2 linked regions of the Callithrix jacchus genome follow. The protein of the gene in region 2 purifies or fractionates together with the protein of the main gene of each other region. This does not show direct contact. Links are inferred from orthologs where the notes say so. Each region holds a gene or a part of one and is shown on either strand. Other genes may lie near its edges.

Region 1 (10,073 bases), on a different chromosome or scaffold from region 2:
GGACTCATTTTCACCAAGTGACCTCAAATGCTAACTCTCCTGTGCCTGAACTTGGAGGCCCAGGCCTGGAGTGATTCATCCAGACAGAAGCAGAAGAGGCTGTGGGCATAGCCCCACACAGGCTACCACTAAGGCCCTGGTAACAGATAGCATTAACATAACCCTGTGCTTTCTTTCTTTTTTTTTTTTTTGAGACAGAGTCTCACTCTGTTGCCCAGAGATGGGGTTTCACCGTGTTAGGATGGTCTCAATCTCCTGACCTCACGATCCACCTGCCTCGACCTTCCAAAGCGCTGAGATTACAGGCGTGAGCCACCGCACCTGGCCCCTGTGCTTTATTTTTAAAAAAAAATTATGTGCAAGGAAAATTTACTGAATGGCTGGGCATGGTGGCTCACACCTGTAATCCCAGCACTTTGGGAGGCTGGGGTGGGTGGGTCACGTCAGGAGTTCAAGACCAGCCTGGCCAACATGGCGAAACCTCATCTCTACTAAAAATACAAAAAACTAGCCGAGCATGATGGCACACACCTGTAATGCCAATTACTCCAGAGGCTGAGCCAGGAGAATAGCTTGAACCCAGGAGGCGGAGGCTGCAGTGAGCTGAGATTGCACCACTGCACTCTAGCCTGTGCAACAGAACAAGACTCTGCCTCAAATAAAACAAAACAGAACAAAAAAACTGACTCTGAAAATCTAAAATCATTCCGCTCCAAAATTCAAAACTTAAAAAAAAAATAACTTCATTTGAGACAAGGTCTCACTGTCACTCAGCTGGAGTGCAGTGGCACAATTATGGCTCACTGCAGTGTTGACCTCCCAGGCTAAAGCAATCCTCTCACCTCACTCTCCCTAGTAGCTAGGACTGTAGTCAGGCACCACCATGGCCAGTTTATTTTATTTTATTTTTTGGTAGAGACGGGGTCTCTCTATGTTGCCTAGGCTGGTTTCAAACTCCTGTTCTCCCAAACTGCTAGGATTACAGGTGCAAACCACCATGCCTGGCCTCTAATTTTTGGATTAAGGATGCTCAACCAGTAATGGAGTGGAAATATTCCAAAATCCAAAACAATTTGAAATCTGAAACACTTCTGGTCTCACGACTTTCAGATAAGGGACATTCAACCTGTATTTTCTGTAGAAAACCTGCACCTTGCATATCTATTCATTGCAAAGACTAATTTAGTAGAAAAGGTAGAAGTTTTCTTCACTGAGTTACTTTATATTTGTTTTATTAATAAATATTATTCCCACTATAAAATATGTATACACTTTGGTGTACACAATTTAGAAAACTGTGAACACACTTATTAATATCTCTTTCCTCTGAGAAAGGTTTCACTATTATTTCAAGTATCCAAAGTCATCACACAATGAAATGATCCCAGTTTTCTTAACAAACCTGTTTGGCTTACACTTTGCAAGCAGTAACCCTACATCTGAAGACAGGTATTAAGAGACTACGTAGTTCTCCCCATAACAGAAACAGTCTGCAGTGAGGGAACTTACCTCTTCTTTGTCATTCTGGCGGAGATGGTTGCAGCGATCCAAGAAACAGTGGCCACCCATGACCCACTCCTTTTGGATGAGGCTCTGGAAACCAATTCTGGTTCTGCAGTGGGGGTCCATCATCAGTTGCACCAGAGAGGAAATGAGACAGCAGAGGTCGGATGCATTCTCCTCTAGGAGGGGCCCCAGCCCCCAGCAGCAGTGCAAAGAGGTAGGAGGGCATAAAATGTTAGACAGTTTCAGAATGCTCTCACTTGTACAGTTAAGAGTAGGATTCCCAACACCAAGGTCTACTATTAATGGTCATGCTCTTATTCCCTAAATGCAAGGGCCAATGACAAAGGGTTACGTTTTCGGACTGAGATGAACTGCTCTAGCATGTCTAGTACAGGGTCCGGCATACACTGGGACTGAGTATGTATTTGCATACTGAATACATAAATACAGCACTGCAAAGCTACTTTCAGCATGTGGGGGTCTACGTGTGCCATACCTACAGAGAAAGCAGAATCATTTACATAATGATGACCTGCCAGCTTCCGCAGGCCAAGACTAAAGCCCTTCCTTCCTGAGGTGTGGAAGCCTCCGTCACTGAACTCACTGCTTCACAGCTATGCTGCTTCTCAAACTCACCTCAGACCTCCCTTCCTCCACTCCTAAGTCCTCCACTAACTCTACTTTGGAGAATGCTGAATGTTTCTTGACTGTAGCAAATTTATTTCTATTTTCAGCTCTAAGGCTCTGTCCTGTTTGAGGAGCATAGAGATGCCTGCTTCTCTGCCTAGACTAGGAAACTCTAAGGTTCTATCCTTTCCTGTTTGAGGAGTACAGAGGTACCTGTATCTCCTGTCTAGGAAGCTCTAAGGCTCTGTCCTTTCCTGTTTGAGGAGCACAGAGGTGCCTGCTTCTCTTCCTAGCATAGGAGACAAATTCTCCATGGTCTACTTCCATATGTCCACTTTTCATGCACTTTCCAAACCCATCTGATGAAAAGTCCACTCACATACTTGTTTAATATTTACGAGCTAGAGCAAAAGAACCACACATCCCTTAGAGTTTTAAGATCCTAAAAGTCAGAGTCTAAATCCCCAGTTTCCCTTTTACAAAAGTAGGTATGACTCAAGCTGTTTTTTAAAAAATGCCCATGAGGAGGATGGTGCTAGTTATCATTGGCATTAGAGAAACTTAAGAATGAATTGTAACTAGGAGGTGCTCATACTGTGTTAACTCTTTCATTTTGACTTCTATAATCACAGAGCACTTTGGGTCCAAGCTTACACTTCTCCCTCCAGGAAACAAGCCTCAGCTATGGGATGACATGGGTTACAGACAAATAGATTTTTATTTTTGTCTCCTAGTGTCATCAGTTTTCAAAATGAGTTTGTCTTTTTTTTTTTTTTTGAGACAGAGTCCCACTCAGTCACCCAGGCTGGAGTGTAGTGGCACAATCTTGACTTGCTGCAACCTCTGCCTCCCAGGTTAAAGCAATTCTTGTGCCTCAGCCTCCCAAGAAGCCAGAACTATAGGCACACAGCACCACGCCTGGCTAATTTAGTAGAGATGGGGTTTCATCATGTTGGCTAGGCTGGTCTCGAACTCCTGGCCCCAAGTGATCTGCATGACTTGGCCTCTCAAAGTTTTGGGATTACAGGCATGAGCCACTGTGCGCAGCCACAGGTTTCATTTTTAAGGAACATTTTCTTCTTGGATCTGAAGGGTGTTAATGATACTCCTAAGGGTAATGGGATAGGGGCTAAAAGAGATTTCAGAGATGAGACAATTCAGTAGTTCATCTAGGAGTGAAGGACGTCTCAGTTCCATCAGTCAAAGATTCAGATTTCACTACATACAACTCTGTGATAAATGCGTTCTGGCCCTCAGTCCTTCCATCCCTTAGACCTCCAATATTTATCTCTCCTCCTTTTCACAAATTGCTCAATACTCAAATAATGCTCTGTTCTGTCATTGCTGGTTAGATCTTTTTCAATAGCATACTTAAGGCAACTCTCTCATTAGGTTGTAAACATCTAGAAGGCAGAAGAACAGAGCCCAGCACATGGCAGGGGCTCAATAAATGTATTCAAATCTAAGTTGGTCAGCCAGTATCAGATGGACAGAAGCCATAGAAAGATACACGTTCCAGGCTGCCCTTAGAATGTAGGGCCAACAGTTAGTTTCAGAGAATGAGAAAAGCTTGGGGGTATCAAGCATAAGACAATCTATTTAATTAACAGTGTGGGGCTATATGAAACAAAATATTTCTAAACAGCAGGTAAGGTTTTAGCTTAGATTTAACTAGTTAAGGCACCAATCTTCGTTGCGTGGTGGTACACCTGTTTTCACCTGATCTGAATGTCTGCATCATGTACGGCAAGTTAAGCCCACTGAGGAAAAGGAAATCACAGGCCACCAAGTTTCTATGGTAACTGTATAAAGTGGCTAAACACAAAGATATAAAAATAACAACTAAGTCATCCATGGAGCTCTTTATATAAGAAGGATTATGAAAAGATTTTAACTTTAACCAAGCTCAGTTAATACGAAACAAAATCCAAAACATTAAGAAATGTGAGCTTTGGTAAAGATACCAAACAATTCCTTCTTGGAATAGGTCTTCCAAGTTTGAAGTGAAAGAATTTTGTTTTAAACTCTAAAACTGAAATCCAAGACAAAGGATTCCAGGGTTAGGGAAAAAGGAATAGAAGGATTTCTACACGATCTCACTCCTTTTGTTTCCAAATACATACGGCTACATGTACAAAAACTGAATCTCAAGTGAAGAAAAGTAGAAATCATCCTTTGTGTTTTATATGCATTACCTAAAAGAAGAACGTTCATGTTTTGTGCTTCCATACATTCTGTAATCTCTATTGCTTTCTTCAGGCAACGTCTAAATAGGAAAGAGACAAGAAAAAGGGGCATCAGTTCATGAGCTTGGTAACATAAGCAGTAAGTAGTTTAGAGATAGTGTGACTTGATCTTCAGTCTTCTCTCTTACTTTCTTTTCCCCCACACTAAAATCCTCCAGAAAAGAAACTAATTACCATTTACATTACTTAGATACTGGGATAAACTCGTGCCCATTAGAAATTGAAAATTTTCAGAAGGGAATCCTAAAATTGATGTTAAAATGCTCCTAGTTGATTTCCTTTTTTTTTGAGATGAAGTTTTGCTCTTGTTGCCCAGGCTGGAGTACAATGGTGTGATCTTGGCTCAACTTCGCTTCCTGGGTTCAAGCTATTCTCCTGCCTCAGCCTCCCAAGTAGCTGGGATTACAGGCATGTGCCACCACGCCCAGCTAATATTTTGTATTTTTAGTAGAGGCAGAGTTTCACCATGTTAGCCAAGATGGTCTTGATCTCCCAGCCTCAGATGATCTGCCCGCCTTGGCCTCCCAAAGTGCTGGGATTACAGGTGTGGCCAATGCACCTGGCACTAGGTGATTTCTAAACTAGACATTCTTATTAAAAACTCATGCCTGAGTCTGTTGGTGAGCAAGACTCATAAAAATCCGTATCTGGAGAATGGGAGACATATCCAGATTGCTTTATTTAAGGTGACCTGCTGAATGTATCACTGTGGCTAAAAAGCTCCAATATGCTCAGAAATCCTTTTTGTCTCTCTCTACACGTTATTCCCTTTGTGATTGTTGCCGCTATTCCCAGCTTTGACTTGTCTCTCATGTATAACTGGGAGCCTTCACATATGGTGTCCTCTGCCTCAGAGGTATCTTCTCCTGCCGCCCAGCCACCCTCTCTTCCCACATCCCGACTCTTCATCTGGCTAGATATGCTCACCCTTCTCTGCCCACCCCACACAAAGAAGGGTTCTTTGCTTTTATAACATTTATCACTGTCTGCCACTATAAATTCAAATTATGAGACGTGTAGCAGGATATCTGAAGCAGTTAAGTGTCTGGAGGACAGCGGCTCCTTTCCACAATACTCACTGCAGAATGGAGAAAGAATGTGTGTGAGGCAGTAGGAAGCTCTGCTTTTCCTCCTGAAATGTAGCCTAGCGTGAGAGCTATTCTCTCATCCTGATCATCTTTTCTGTTTTGCACCCTTCTCTGTTATCTCCTCTATTTGATGGGAACAGAGAAGAGCTACTCAATATAGAAATTAGGAAAGGCAATATATAACTCTGTTGTCTGGAACTCTCAACCTAACTCCCAAACCAAAATTTAATCATGTTTTTTTTGCTTTTGTTTTTGTTTCTGTTTTGAGATGGAGTCTTGCTCTGTCACCCAGGCTGGAGTGCAGTGGCGCAATCTCAGCTCACTGCAACTTCTGCCTCCTGGGTTCAAGTGATTCTCCTGCCTCAGCCCCCCGAGTAGGTGGGATTACAGGCATGTGCCACCACACCCACTTTTGTATTTTTAGTAGAGACGGGGTTTCACCGTGTTAGCCAGGATGGTCTCGATCTCCTGACCTCATGATCCACCCACCTCGGCCTCCCAAAGTGCTGGGATTACAGGCATGAGCCACCGTGCCGGCCTAATCATGGGTTTTTTTTTTTTTCTTTGATACAGAGTTTCACTCTTGTTGCCCAGGCTGGAGCGCAGTGGTGCGATCTTGGCTCACCGCAACCTCCACCTCCCAGGTTTAAGTGATCCTCCTGCCGCAGCCTCCTGAGTAGGTGGGATTACAGGCATGCACCACCATGCCCAGCTAATTTTTTGTATTTTCAGTAGAGATGAGGTTTCTCCATGTTGGTCAGGCTGGTCTTGAACTCCCGACCTCAGGTGATCTGCCTGTCTCAGCCACCCAAAGTGCTGGGATTACAGGTGTGAGCCACTGCGCCTGGCCTAATCATCATTTTTTAAAAACACAGGTAATATATGTATAAGACACAAAATTCAAAAAGGTATTCAGTGAAAAGTCAGTATCACTCCTGTTCTCACCCCCAGTTTCCTCCCTGGAGGCCAGCACTGCTGCCTCAGTGATAATTCTGGGTTGTCACACTCTTTCTGTGGTATTTCAATGCCTTGTCTGCAGAGTACATCTCCTTGTAACCAGGTGGCATGTTCATAAATTCCTATCAAATGTGCACAGAAATAAGTAGCAAATGTAAAATCTAGCTGAGCCCTGAAGAGAACATGTATCTAAGAATATTTAACTGTGAAATATCATACAATTACATTATTTGTCAGTTTGATCTACTACCCTGAGTTAGACAACTGTAAAATTCATGAGTAAAACAATGGTTTGAAATACCTGATTATGTCAAGCCAGCTGCTACTTTCTAACAGAGAAAACCATTTTATATCTGTGTCCCAAAATTCAGTACTGTTATCTGAAAAAAGAAAAAGGAGTAAAGACATTAGGTCATTGTTCACTGAAATACTTGCCACAGAAATTCTCTGCTACTCAACTGTGTCATTCAGATTAACAGTCCAGACTCAAACTGCAGAATCCAGGCACAGGACTTTAGGGCCATTTCAAAACTTTAGCTGAAATGGTTTTTGAGCTGTAGGTCTCTAGAAGGTTGCAGTAATCAAAAAGAGATCTTTACTGCTAAAATAAGAAATTCCTACAATGCATACACAAAGCCATGGTTCATTCTGTAAGTTGACAGAGAGTAACATGCTTTAGGCAGAAATAGTTGACATCCAGGCTGCTATATCCTGATGCCATGAAAGCCTAAGGGTCAGACTTGATTTTCATTAGAATCTCAATGCACAAGTTCCTACACCCAGTATACCACGACATGACTCCCCCCTACATGCCTCATAAAACAGAGAACCTTCAATCTTACAGAAATCCAATGTATTTAAAAGTTGCAAACTCAGGCTGGGTGCTTTGGCTCATGCCTATAACCCCAACACTTAGGGAGGCTAAGGCAGGAAGATCACTGGAGGCCAGGAATTTGAGGTTGCAGTGAGCTATGATGGTGCCACTACACCCTATCAGAGCAAGACCCTGCTTCTAAAAAATGAAAAAAAAGTTGCAAAACTCAAATCAAGAAAAGGCAGATATCCCTGGAAGTCCTGAGTGATTGAAATAAAACTAGAATGAGTATCCTTTATTAAACAGTAAACATATATTGTAATGTTTTAGTTTGAGATAGGGTCATACATTGCTGTTTCCCCTGCAAGGGTATAAGCTCTTGGTGTTATATTCCGCTTTATCACCAATGCCAGCATAGTTAGCATATACAAGGGACTTTAAAAGTATGTGAAAACATGGAATCAAAAGACGAAAATAAAAAATATAAACTTTATTTCTCAACATAAGCTCCATCAAGTTTAAGACACTCTCATAAGAGATGATACCAGCCATTTAGTTCACCCCTAAAGAACTGAGGGTCCTGGGAATTTAACCATGTCATTGCAGTCTATTTTACATTATTAACTGAAAAAAAAAAAAGGGTTCCCTTTAAGGATACACACACGCACATACACTTTATTTATTTTTTGAGACGGAGTTTCACTCTTGTCACCCAGGCTGAAGTGCAATGGCATGATCTTGGCTGACAGCAACCCCTGCCTCCCGGATTCACTCTCCTGCCTCAGCCCCCTGGAGCAGCTGTGATTACAGGCACCTGCCACCATGACTGGCTAATTTTTGTATATTTAGTAGAGATGAGGTTTCACCATGTTGGCCAGGCTGGTCTCAAACTCCTGAACTCAAGCGATCCGCCTGTCTCAGCCTCCCAAAGTGCTGGGATTATAGGCATGAGCTACTGCGCCCGGTGAGTAGGTTTGCTCAACTTTAACTCTTCAGTCAGAATTGTGTAAGCTGAACCATCTGAGATGTCTATGGAGTTGACTATTGTTTCTTCTGCTGTCGGTCCTCTTCAATTAAGGCAGAAAAAAGACTAATTTTTTCCTTGCAAACCGATGTGGACAGTTTGCCACTGCAGGCTTCATAGTTGACATCATCTCCTTCTTAAAAATGAGTTGCCCATTTGTAAACTGCTGATTTCTTTGGGGCATTGTCCCCATAAACTCTTGTGAAGCATCAATAATTTTACCACTCCTCCATCCAAGCTTCACCATAAATTCAATATTTGTTTTTGCTTCAATTTTAGCAGAATTTGCATTGCTCTGATAGGAGCTATTTTCAAACTAATATCTTACCCTTCTTAGCTCTTCAAACCAGATCCTGCTCAGGCATGTTATAAGTTAGTATGAATTATTTCGGGGTAAAAAAGTTTTGAAATTCATGCATAATTTTTGTATAATATACATTTTCCATGAACTTTCTGAAGACCCCTTGTACAATGGAAACTCAATAAATGTCACTGAACAAATCCTAAAATAGTTAAGAATTTGCTAGGCTAAAAAGTCCAAGTTAGTCCAGGCAGGGACTCACGCCTATAATCCCAGCACTTTGCAAGGCCAAAGTGGGAGGATTACTTGAGCCTTAGAGTTCAAGATCAGTCTGGACAACATTATGGGACTCTGTCTCTACAAAAAAATACAAAAATTAGCCGGGTGAGGGGGCGTGTGCCTGCAATCCCAGCTACTTGGGAGGCAGAGGTGGGAGGATCACTTGAGCCTGGGAGTTTTAAGGTTGCAGTGGGTTGTGATCGTGCCACTGCACTCCAGTCTGGATGACAGAGGTGAGACCCTGTCTCAGAAAAAAAAAAAATGTCCAAGTGAGGAAAAGTTACCTATAGGCATGACAAGTCTCGGAGCATAAAGACTCATTCCAGAATGAAGAGAATCAATGAGTGACTGGGCAGAGTTAAACATGAACCACCAGTAGGCAGCCTGGGCAGGAAAAGGGGGGTAGCTGGGACTGGCATGTTTCGTTTTCTACCTTGTACATTTCTGATAAAACTTTTAATATTGTTAAAAACTGTATATTCCCAATCATGGGAAAAACAAAGTATTTCCACTTTGGGGAAAAAGTCTACTGAAGAAAATGAACATCATTCACTTTATAAATCACCGCAAGTCAACAAATATAAATACTGCATAGTTCAAAAACTTTTAAAGGAAGAAATCAAAATGCTCACCACTGGACAACTGGTATATTGAGGAAAGGGGAGAAGAGAAGGGTGGCTGTGTGATCACTGCCACAATAAGGAGGCTGGGGGAAGCCTGGAGAGAGATGGACAGGGAAGTGTAGTGATGGCAGCCAGAGACTCTGGCTCCATGACATTGCAGCCCTGGGCTCTGCATACCACGGTAAGGAACTCAGAAAAAAGGCAACAACTTTCACCTGATCTGCATGGCCTGACTTTCCCCATCTGACACAAAGTTTTTGCTCAGTATTCTTCTCACCTATCAGAAACAGCTGTTTAAACTTAGAGTATGCAGTCTGGATTTCCTGCAGGGATAGGAAGTTGCTTGACAGGTCTTCAGTTTTAACAATTTCATAGGGTGGCCTGTGGATGGTCTTGTAAATTCTAGGTACCAAAAAGGAATATGAGATTAGAAGAGCAAACACAAATTTTGCCTGAGGATTTACAATTTGCCATGATCTGTGTTAAGGGCTCGGTAGGCATTCTCCAATTTAAACTTCACCTACCAGGCAACTGTCTGGGACTCCCGTTCCCGGTCAACAGGTGTGGAAATGGAGGTGCACAGTAAAACTGCCTGGCCCAATATTATA
Region 2 (10,544 bases):
TTTTGAATACAACAGCATTAACTTGGCAGCTTTCCAAAATAAACTTACTGCTTTCTGGTCATCTGTATCCAGGTTATCTCCTTCCCTTGGGCATAATCCAAACTTTATCAGTTCAGGTGATGGCCTCCTGTAACTACTTCTTCATAATACAGTTGACCCTTGAACAACGCAGGAGTTGGGGTGCATTGCAGTTGAAAATCCGCATGTAATTTTGACTCTCCAGACTATTCCCCAAAGTTAACTACTGATAGACTACTGTTGGCTGGAAGCTTCCCTGATAACATAAATAGTCTATCAAAATATATTTCGGGCTGCATACCAATATACTGTATTCTAACAATGAAAAAAATGTTATTAAGATAATCATAAGGAAGAGAAAATATATTTACCACTCTTTAAGTGGAAGTGGGTCATCATAAAGTTTGTTATCCTCATTGTGTTGCACAAGCTGAGGAGGAAGAGGAGAGAGGTTGCTCTTGCAGTGGCAGAGGTGGCAGAGACAGAAGAAAATCCACATAAAAGTAGATCCAAACAGTTCACACCCATGTGATTCGAGGGTCAACTGTAACTTTCTTAAATGCTTGTTTCCACTAATCTTTCTCACTAAGAATCTATTTTTTAAAAAAAGCCTAAAACACATATTCTTGTTTTGTGTTACTTATGGCTGAGAAAGAAAAATGCCTTAGTAAATGGCCTAGAAATCAAATCTAATAAATCTACAGGAGATGACTTTTACCTTGTACTACTTTAGTTAACATTTTTACAAAAATGCTCTCAAGTAATAGCTTTACAGTAGCTCTATCACAGACCTTAACTTAGTTTTAACTAATGTTGATTGCATTATAAAAGGCACCAATTAGCAAAAGATCCAAGGCAGTGGTTTTCAAACTTTAGTGTCCATCAGGATGACCTGGAAAGATTCCTAAAACATTAACAGCTGGGCTCAACCCCTAAAGTTTTTAATTCAATTAGGTTCAAGGTAGGGCCCAATAATTTGCATTTTTTAAGAAATTCTGAAGAGACACTGATGCTACTGGTCTAGAGACGAAACTTTGGGAACTACTGATCTACACTAATAGAAAACTATTGATAATAGCATAAGGAAAAATATATACAGGACCCCATCTCAAGTTCAGTATCAACTTGCATTTTTAAAACACATCCTTTCTGAAAAGCTAGACAATTGCTAATTATTACAGAGCAATATTGGTTCTTATCTAAAAGAACTTAGATCTTTGATGGTTTTTAAAGAATGGAATCCAAAGTAAGTCATTTTTAGTCTAACATGGTCAATGTTTGATGCAAGGTGCTACTAATAATGCCAAGATTATAGGTTCAACCTGGTAGCTTTACTCTGTTCTACAGCTATAATTTCTACCTCTAATCTTGCCAGCTGTCTGAGAAGACATGCCAAGAATGACAAAGGAAATGGGTAAAAATGTGTGATTGTACACAAATCCATCACCACTACTAGAAAAACAACATAAAAGCATCTTTCCTACCAACATATCACTTTTTATCTTTTTGAGACAGGGTCTCACTGTCTTGCCCAGGCCAGAGTACAGTGGCACCATCATGACCCATTGCAGCCTCAACATCCCCAGGTTCAGGTGATCCTCTCACACCAGCCTCCCAAGTAGCTGGGACTATGGGACTACAGGCATGCACTACCATGCCCAGCTAACTTTTTATTTTTTGTAGAGAGTGTTCTGTCATGTGACCCAGGCTGGTCTGGAACTCCTGGGCTCAAGCGATCCTCCAGCCTCGGCCTCCCAAAGTGCTAGAATTACAGGCATTAGCCAATTCACCTGGTCTCCAACAAGTCACTCTTAAGTGACCTTGAAGCTAAAACTCAAGATAAGACCTTGCAACAAAATGCATTTTAGAAATCTACAAAACTCTTCTACTTCTTCAGGCTGTAAGTATACTCAAAATCCATAGAAACAGAAATCCAGGAATTGCTGTTTTCAAATGATGATAATTTTAAGGCAGGCATGCAATTTAGAAATGCAATTCATTGAGAACTCCTTTGAGTATGTGTACCTTCCCTTTGATTTTTTAATGGAATTTAAATGTAACTATAAGATGTTCATCAATGCTAATGAAATTATATACTAGAAACTGATAAAACCAGAATAATCTGGGATAAACAAGTATGGTACCCGGAATTACTAAAGCCTGAGGATACATAAAGGATAACAAGAATACACATTAAATAAAACAACTAACAACCTAAGTTAGAGCAAAAGGGTCTAAAGTAATCAAGAGTAGCAGATGAATAAATAGGTAGTTGCAGAGGATGTAATAACCTCAATATGTATAGGACTGGACACAGAACAGATAATGCAGCCAGTAAAATCAGCTCAAGATGTCCAGAGTCTCCCAGAAAAATAACTTTAGCTTAGACCTGAAATTCCAAGTGTTCAGGCCAAATTCAACAGAAGAAATCCTTTTTAATCCTTTGAATGGGAACAACAAATAAAACCAGTGGTGAACATTCTGTCAACATTCTTTTATTTAGTTGTTCACTGGGCACCTATTTGGCACTAGATATCTTACCATTTGATTATGCACAATACAAAGTAATCAAAGAAGCTTACTAAAGCAGTGCACTTTATAATAGTGTATAAACTGAAAAATGGAAAACCAGACTAAGATGGCAAATTATTACCAATATAATGTCAAAGTCTGCTGTGTAACTCATTACAGTTCTGAGGCTCAGGCCTACTCTTACCACATCTGACCTACAGTATTATTTTATCTATATTCTATAAAGTCACACTTATATCAAGAATCAGAGCACACCCAACAAGAATAAAATTACACAATATAGGTAGATTATCAGGAAGCTGAAGTGAATTTTTCCATAACGCCCTCTTTCTGTGGGGATAGACATGCATGAAGAATGGCCAACAGCAAGATATACAAGAGTTGCTGAACACTTTACTAAAGTATGGCAATATTAAGCAGGACTCACCAAAGACAATTGTTTTTCTCTATTTTTGAGACAGAGCCTCACTCTGTTGCCCAGGTTGGAGTGCAGTAGCATGATCTCAGCTCACTACAACTTCTGCCTCCCAGGTTCAAGCGATTCTTGTACCTCAGCCTCCCGAGTAGCTAGGGTTACAGGCGCATGTCATGCCCAGTTGATAATTACTTTTCTGTTTTTGTAAAGATGCGGGATGACATAACTACAGCTGATTAGGAAGTTGCTCTCTGTATATCATATGAGGAATGAAATTTCTCTTTTGTGGGCAAAGGCATTAGGCCTATGATGACCTAGAAGGCATAACTGGAAACAAGAGCAACTCTGAAATGACTAGAGATACTTAATAAGACTCATATGTTTAGTGTGAACTACAGATTGCACAATGGGCCTTTCATCCAACTTCAATGGAGTATGTCATTTTCTTTCTTTCTTTTTTTTTTTTTTTTTGAGACAGAGTTTCACTCGTTACCCAGGCTGGAGTGCAATGGTGAGATCTCGGCTCACCGCAACCTCCGCCTCCACCTCCTGGGTTCAAGCAATTCTCCTGCCTCAGCCTCCAGAGCAGCTGGGACTATAGGCGCTCGCCACCACGCCCAGCTAATTTTTGTATTTTTAGTAGAGACGGGGTTTCACCATGTTGACCAGGGTGATCTCGATCTCTTGACCTCGTGATCCACCCGCCTCGGCCTCCCAAAGTGCTGGGATTATAGGCATGAGCCACTGTGCCAGGCCTTCATTTTTTAAAATACTTTTATTTAAAAAACTTTTTCTTTTTTAGAGATGGGGGTCTCACTAATTTGCCCAGGCTGGTCTCAAACTCCTGGACTCAAATGATCCTCCCACTTTGGCCTCCCAAAGTGCTGGGATTACAGGCATGAGCCACGGTGCCCCACCAAGTATGCCATTTTCAAAAAGCAATGGGCAACCACATGGATTACTGCATTATTCTTCCGACTTCCTAGAAAGGCTTAAGACATCTAATCAATACATTTAAACATAACACATAATATTTAACTTGAGTTCATGTAATAATAAAAGTATTTAAAGAAATTAGAGATACTATCACCTTCAGATATAAATTTGACTAAAATGTTTTACTAAGCTACAGAGAAAGATGCAGTTACGTAGTTACCATTTACTAACAAACAAGGAGCATACATAATTATTTCCATAAATAATTTTCCTTGTAGCTAAACTCAGCAGAAATTTATGTCAATCCATGTGTGAAAGACATTGTGACACATTTAGCAATATAATTAACTATTATTTTGCCAGAGACATCAAAACAAATTCACAAGGCAGTTTCTCAATTAGGCCTCTGTATAAAAACAGCAAGCATAAAAATAAACTACAATTTAAGGGCATCATTTCTGCAAAGACTAAGACACTATAGGCCAAACAGCAATAGTTTTGCTTTGTCGAAGGCTAATGAAACAAAAGAAATAACTTAATCTAGACAGACACTTAACATAGCTATGAGACCATGGTAGTCCACACTGGCAATGCATTAGAATCACCTGCGATGAAGTGTTAGATTAAGTTTAAAATTAAGCTTTCTAAATTCAGTTTAAAATTAAGCTTTCTAACTAGTGTCTATAATGTATCTATTACATACTATTGATTAAAGAAAGTGCCACAAACAGGTATGATGATTAATGAAATAAGAGATATATAGAATTTAGCAGGGAAACTTCCATACAGTTGACATTAAGTAAATGTTATTTTCTACCTTCCAGAGGAGAGTAATGAAAGCTGGCATTCTCTATGTTATGGAAAATAGGAGTCACACTTATATTTTTTGTCCATAGAGGCTGAGGCTAATCTACTATAATCACAATTCTTTCGAGGAATACTTAATTTTCTCAAATTCACGTAACAATTTTTTTATGAAGAATATACATATATAAACTTTAAACTTGCTGGGCTTTCTTTTTTAGGAAGTAAGTATGCAAAAGTGGCACCTTTAGGTCTATTCGTTTGTAATAATAAAAGACACTTATTTAGTGTATTTGCAAAAATCCAAACCCAAAGTTATTTGCAAAGGAATTATCTTTAAAATTAATAAGAATGAGTTTATCTTAATAAGTATTGTCATTACAATTAAAAAATGACAATTTTAGAGTTCAAAGGGACCTTACAGATTTTGTAGATCAAGCCTCTTGATTTAAAAGATGAGAAAACTGTAGACTAAAAAGGTTAAATGATAAAGGCCAAAGAGCTAGCTCAGCAAGAGACTTCAGCATGGGAACTTCCTAACTTCCAGTACCTCCTAACAGTAGGCTGCCTCTTGTGGTTCTAACTCCTCTGCCTTGGATAGCGTACTGGTTGCCTCTTGTTCTACTCTGAGGCATAGCTGTCATTTGTAACTTTCCCATAAAATTTGAATTTTCCAACCTGTTTTCTGAATGAATTATTTTACAACTGAACATGTTAACCCTCAGCTTTCTAAATTTCAAAGCAATAAATACAGAATTCAAAAAATACTTGATTCACACGTGCAATACATATAACCAAACTGCAAAGGAAAATCCTCCTTTCCTGGATAATTCAGTTTACATCTATCACATGCTGAGACTATGTTAAGTGCTGGAGATATGAAGATGATTAAGATATGGCCCTTGTTCTCAAATATAATACCTTACAGCCTGGGAGGAAAAAAACTTTAAGCTAACAATTATAGGGTGCTTGTTAAGGACTGAAAAAGGACTGGGCAAGAACCTATAAATGCAGATAGAGATTTAGAATGATGGGATCAGACGGAGGTTCCCCAATGAGGTACTGAACAACAATAGGAATTCTGCTACCCATATTTAGCAGAATCCAAAATGAATTATAGTGGAGCCACTTCAATTGATTCGAGGAGAAAATGAAAATTGTGTTTTCACACAGCAGTTATCAAATAACTCTCTAATAACAATTAGACTTTTTTTCAGTGGAAAAGAACCAGATTGCATCGTGGCTGCATAAAAAGCAAAACACAGGTCTTATATGATTGCTTAGTAAAATTTTAAATCATTATTTTAAAATCAAAGAAAAAGACTGCATATCCAAAACACATCTAGTTAATATTCATGAAAGCTCTCTGCAAAGCTGCATAAAGTCCTCAAAATTTCAGGATAAAATTCCCATCTGTTACAAGAGAAATGACAACCTGGAGAACCAGTAGCCCAAGAAGGAAGAAAACTACCACTTATTTTCTTTTCTTAAACCTATCACTGGGGATGAAAACTACTCAGATTCCTTGATACTGACTTTCAGCTGGAAGATTTAGAAAAGAGAAGCACAGGAGACACTTTTATTTACATATTTAAGCAAAAGGAGAGGCGAGAAGAAAATCAGAGTGTAGACATAAGCGTGAAAGAAATTAAGAAAGTGAAGCCATGAAAGAGAGAAAAGGGTTGGGCAAGAACCCAAAAACCAAAGACATAAGAAAGGGTGGAAGAAGAGACATTGACTGAAGGATGGTTTTGGAAAAAGTGATACAGAAAGACAGGAAATGAGGGGGAAAGAATGGGGGGGGCTGTCTAAAAAAAAGACCGAGAGGGAACGACAGACAGGAGAAAGTAATTAACTGAGGCCACCTTCATCGGGGAGAATACGAGATCGGAATATGAAAGGTAGAGGAATCTAGAGACAAGCAGCGAGTTTAACCACCTTTTCCTCAGCCTCCACGCCCCAGAGAGGGAGGCAGAAGTGATTCCCAAGTCCCGGGGAAGGAATTCCGGCGCAGCCTTCAGAAACCACAATCCGCGAGTTGGGGCAATGTCCAGCGGGTCCCCGGCCCCTCTCCATCCCCTTCGGCCGCTGGGCGGGGCCCTGGGCGCCCTGGTTACCTGGACAAGGAGTCCACGCTGGGCGGCCGAGCCGCCGCCGGCTGGGAGCCAAGACTCTCGCAGCTGGAGCTCTTCTCCATGGCGCGGCAGGGGCAGCAGAGGAGAAGGCTGAAGCGGTCTTCGAGGCTGCAGGGCGTGAGAAGCAGAGGGCGGAGTGCTTCGGGCAGGGGCCGCAGTTAAGCCAGCGCCGGCCAGGGAGGGAGACCGGAAGCGGCCATGTTCCCCCAGAGTGCACCGCGCCTGGAGCCTGCGGGGGAGCGGGAAGACCCCCACTGCGTTGCTCCGACGCCTTCCCCGACGCGCAGTACTCGCAGTGTCCGGCCGCGCGACCTCTGTGCTTGGGGAAAGGGAGGTGGGGGCTTCCAGAGTGAGAGGGTCTGGCGAAGCGGGAGGAATGGGGGACCAGACCCTTGGGGAAGGTGGAGAAATCCTAGGTATAAGAGGAATGACGGAACATTAGGCCTGAGGGTCTCAGGAAAGAGATAAAAGACCCGAGGCCCAGAGAATGATTGAGACAGGAATGTGGAGATCAAGGAAAACATAAGGACGGGATAATGAGAGAAAAGTGAGGGAAAGAGGGATGGAAGAGGGAATGGGGAGGAAACTGATAAACATTAAAAAAGAATTATACACATATACTACAGGCTGCATTGACATTGGATATTCCACCCAAGTAGAAGGCAAACTTTTACCGATTTTTCCCTGCCCTTTCAAATTTCCCTGCCTAGCAGTAAGGGAGTGTGGAGGAATAGAACCGTGATAAGAGAAAAGGAACTGGGTAAAGGGGAAATGCTTCTGCTAGGATTTTTGTGTTACAGAGGACTCAGGAAGGCCATAAGAACACCATAAAGGAGTTTTTCTGATTGAGATTGAATCCCAATCATCTCATGTATGGGGTGTAAAATTATGCAAAGATTATTCCTTTTTTAAAAAAATCAGATGATCCTTAAGAGAAAAAATTTCCTTGCTAGGAAAAATAAAATTATATTAATTTAAATTAGATTTAATTTACATTGTACGACTGATGTCTTTTAAGAAACCTTATAGTTGCAGTGCAGTGTTAACTTGCAAGTACATTCCCCAGAAGAACAACCTAGCTTAGTTATGCTCAGTGTAAGCCAGAGTAGTTACTGATGAATGAGTATGTGTTGAAGCACAAAAGGCTTAGCCGTTCTGTTCCTTTTTTCAGTTTGGCAAGGACTGACAGCCACTGATTGTTTTTATTTCCATAATTTTTAAGAGACGTTAACTGTACTCTGTAGGCAAAGGGAGTCGATAGAAACATTTTTTAACAAACTTAAATATCTGTAATGACTCGTAGAAGAATTTCCTTATTTCTTCACCATCTCTACCTGCCTTCCAAAATGCTGACTCACTGTCAGCTACTTAGATTTCTTAAGTATGGTGAAGACTGATGAACCCTTGAATGGGAGACCCCTGTACTTTGTTCTACCCAGTTCATTCCTAGCATTGTGTTAATAGAACCCTCAGAACCTTCTTTTTTTTTTTTTTTTTTTTTTTTTTTTTGAGACGGAGTTTTGCTCTTGTTACCCAGGCTGGGTGCAATGGCGCAATCTCGGCTCACCGCAACCTCCGCCTCCTGGGTTCAGGCAATTCTCTTGCCTCAGCCTCCCAAGTAGCTGGGATTACAGGCATGCGCACCGTGCCCAGCTAATTTTTTGTATTTTTAGTAGAGATGGGTTTCACCATGTTGACCAGGATGGTCTCGATCTCTTGACCTCGTGATCCACCCGCCTCAGCCTCCCAAAGTGCTGGGATTACAGGCTTGAGCCACCATGCCCTGCAGGACCCTCAGAACCTTCTGCCTGATGTAACAATGTGTGTATGGTTCTACCTAGTGATTAATAAAGAACAGTGTACTTAAAAATGTAGAGACATTGGAACCAGACAACCTGTGTTAGAATCCTGGTTCTGTCACTACATTTGCTGTATGCTTGTGGTTAAGTTGTTTCTTGTCTCTAAAATACGAATAAAAATACCCATATAATAGATTGTTTTCCTGTATACAGTCAGTTGTACAGTATGGTCTCAGTAATTAGATCTATTATTACTCGTTTTTCCACTGAACTTACTGCTTTACTTCTAACCTGGCTGGCAAAATGGTAACTTCTCAGAATGAAAACACAAGCAAAGAATATCAGCTGAAAATTAATTAGTGAACTCTAATTAATTAATGAACTGTAAGTGAAAAGAAAAATGAAAAAAATGGTTAACTCGAAACCTTACCAAAAGTTATTAATTTTCAATTTGTAGTCTGGGCTTTTTCTTACACTATCTGCAGGAAGGAACAGTGTTTTGTTTTTAATTTCTAAACCATCACCAACCAATACCTTTTTAAAAGATAAGAAAAATTAATCACAGTCGGCCCTTTATAGCCATGGCTTCCATGTCCTGAGATTCAACCAACCACAGAGTGAAAATTTTTTTTTAATTGTAAAAATTAACAATAAAAATAATACAAATAGAAAACAATACAGTGTAACAATATAACATTTACATTGTGTTCAATGTTATAAGTAATCTAGAGTCAATTTAAAGTATATAGGTGGATATACATAGGTTATTTGTGGATACTGTGCCATTTTATATAAGGGACTTGAGCATCCTTAGATTTTGCTATTATTGTTGGGGGTCCTGAAACCAATAACCTGAAGATACTAAGAAGTAACTGTACTAGGAAAATTAAATTTAAGAAAAAGGTATGCAAAATACAAGGCCAAATTGTTTATTAGATTTAACAGACACTACTCCATGAACGTTTCATAAAACTTCCTAAATATTTATTCTCATATTGCCTTTATCTCATCATAGACAGACAACAGTTCATGTGTGGATACTACACCAAAAAACTGTTGAGAGCTGATAATAAACTTGCAGAATACAAAATCAACATCCAAACTTAGTTGCACTTCTATACATCAATAATGAAATGGCCAAAAAAAAAAAAAAATCAAGAAAGCAATCCCATTTACAAATACTACAAAAAAAACAAAAAACAGGAATAAGTTTAACCAAGGAAATGAAAGACCTCCTCAAAGAAAACTATAAAACTCGGATGAAGGAAATTGAAGAAGATGCAAACAAATGGAAAGACATTCCATGGTCATGGAACAGAACAATTAACATTAAAATGACCATACTACACAAAGCAATCTACAAATTCAATGCAATGTCTATCAAAATATCAGTGTCCTTTTTCACAAAAAAAGAAAAATTCTAAAATTCACATCAAACTAAAAAACAGTCTGAATTGCAAAAGCAATCCTGAGCAAGAAGAACAGAATTGGAGGCATCAGACTATCTCACTTCAAAATATAAATAAATATAAGGCTATACCTACAGCAGGGTATTGGTATAAAAACAAACACACATACCAAAGGAACATTAGAGAGCATCCAGAAATAAATACATGCATTTACAGCCAACTGATTTTGGAGAGACATCAAGATTATCCTTAAACTGTGGGAAGAATAATCTCTTTAATAAATTGTGCTAGGAATTTTGGATATTCATATTCAGAAGAATAAAATTGGACCCCTGTATCTTACCACATACACAAATCAACTTAAGATGGATTAAAGACTAAAATGTAACACCTAAAGCTATAAAATAACTACAATAAAATATTAGGGAAATACTTCAGGACATAGGCAATGCTTTACAGCTAAAACATGAAAAGCACAGGTAGCAAAAGCACTAAT

Evidence for each region.
Region 1: the proteins of MTMR2 (region 2) and MTMR12 purify together in Homo sapiens (affinity purification with mass spectrometry; 5 studies listed by BioGRID and IntAct, with this or other methods). This does not show direct contact. The link is inferred for Callithrix jacchus from reciprocal best matches to the Homo sapiens genes MTMR2 and MTMR12.

The regions. Positions count from the first base shown.
Region 1 is NC_133503.1:173,030,804-173,040,876, reverse strand, and holds part of MTMR12 (myotubularin-related protein 12), read right to left. Parts: intron 9,868-10,073; coding exon 9,743-9,867; intron 6,805-9,742; coding exon 6,726-6,804; intron 4,400-6,725; coding exon 4,329-4,399; intron 1,683-4,328; coding exon 1,510-1,682; intron 1-1,509. UniProt on the Homo sapiens protein: Acts as an adapter for the myotubularin-related phosphatases. Regulates phosphatase MTM1 protein stability and possibly its intracellular location. By stabilizing MTM1 protein levels, required for skeletal muscle maintenance but not for myogenesis.
Region 2 is NC_133511.1:44,300,059-44,310,602, reverse strand, and holds the start of MTMR2 (phosphatidylinositol-3,5-bisphosphate 3-phosphatase MTMR2), read right to left. Parts: upstream 7,056-10,544; 5' UTR 6,903-7,055; coding exon 6,823-6,902; exon of another isoform or gene 6,644-6,822; intron 1-6,643. UniProt on the Homo sapiens protein: Lipid phosphatase that specifically dephosphorylates the D-3 position of phosphatidylinositol 3-phosphate and phosphatidylinositol 3,5-bisphosphate, generating phosphatidylinositol and phosphatidylinositol 5-phosphate.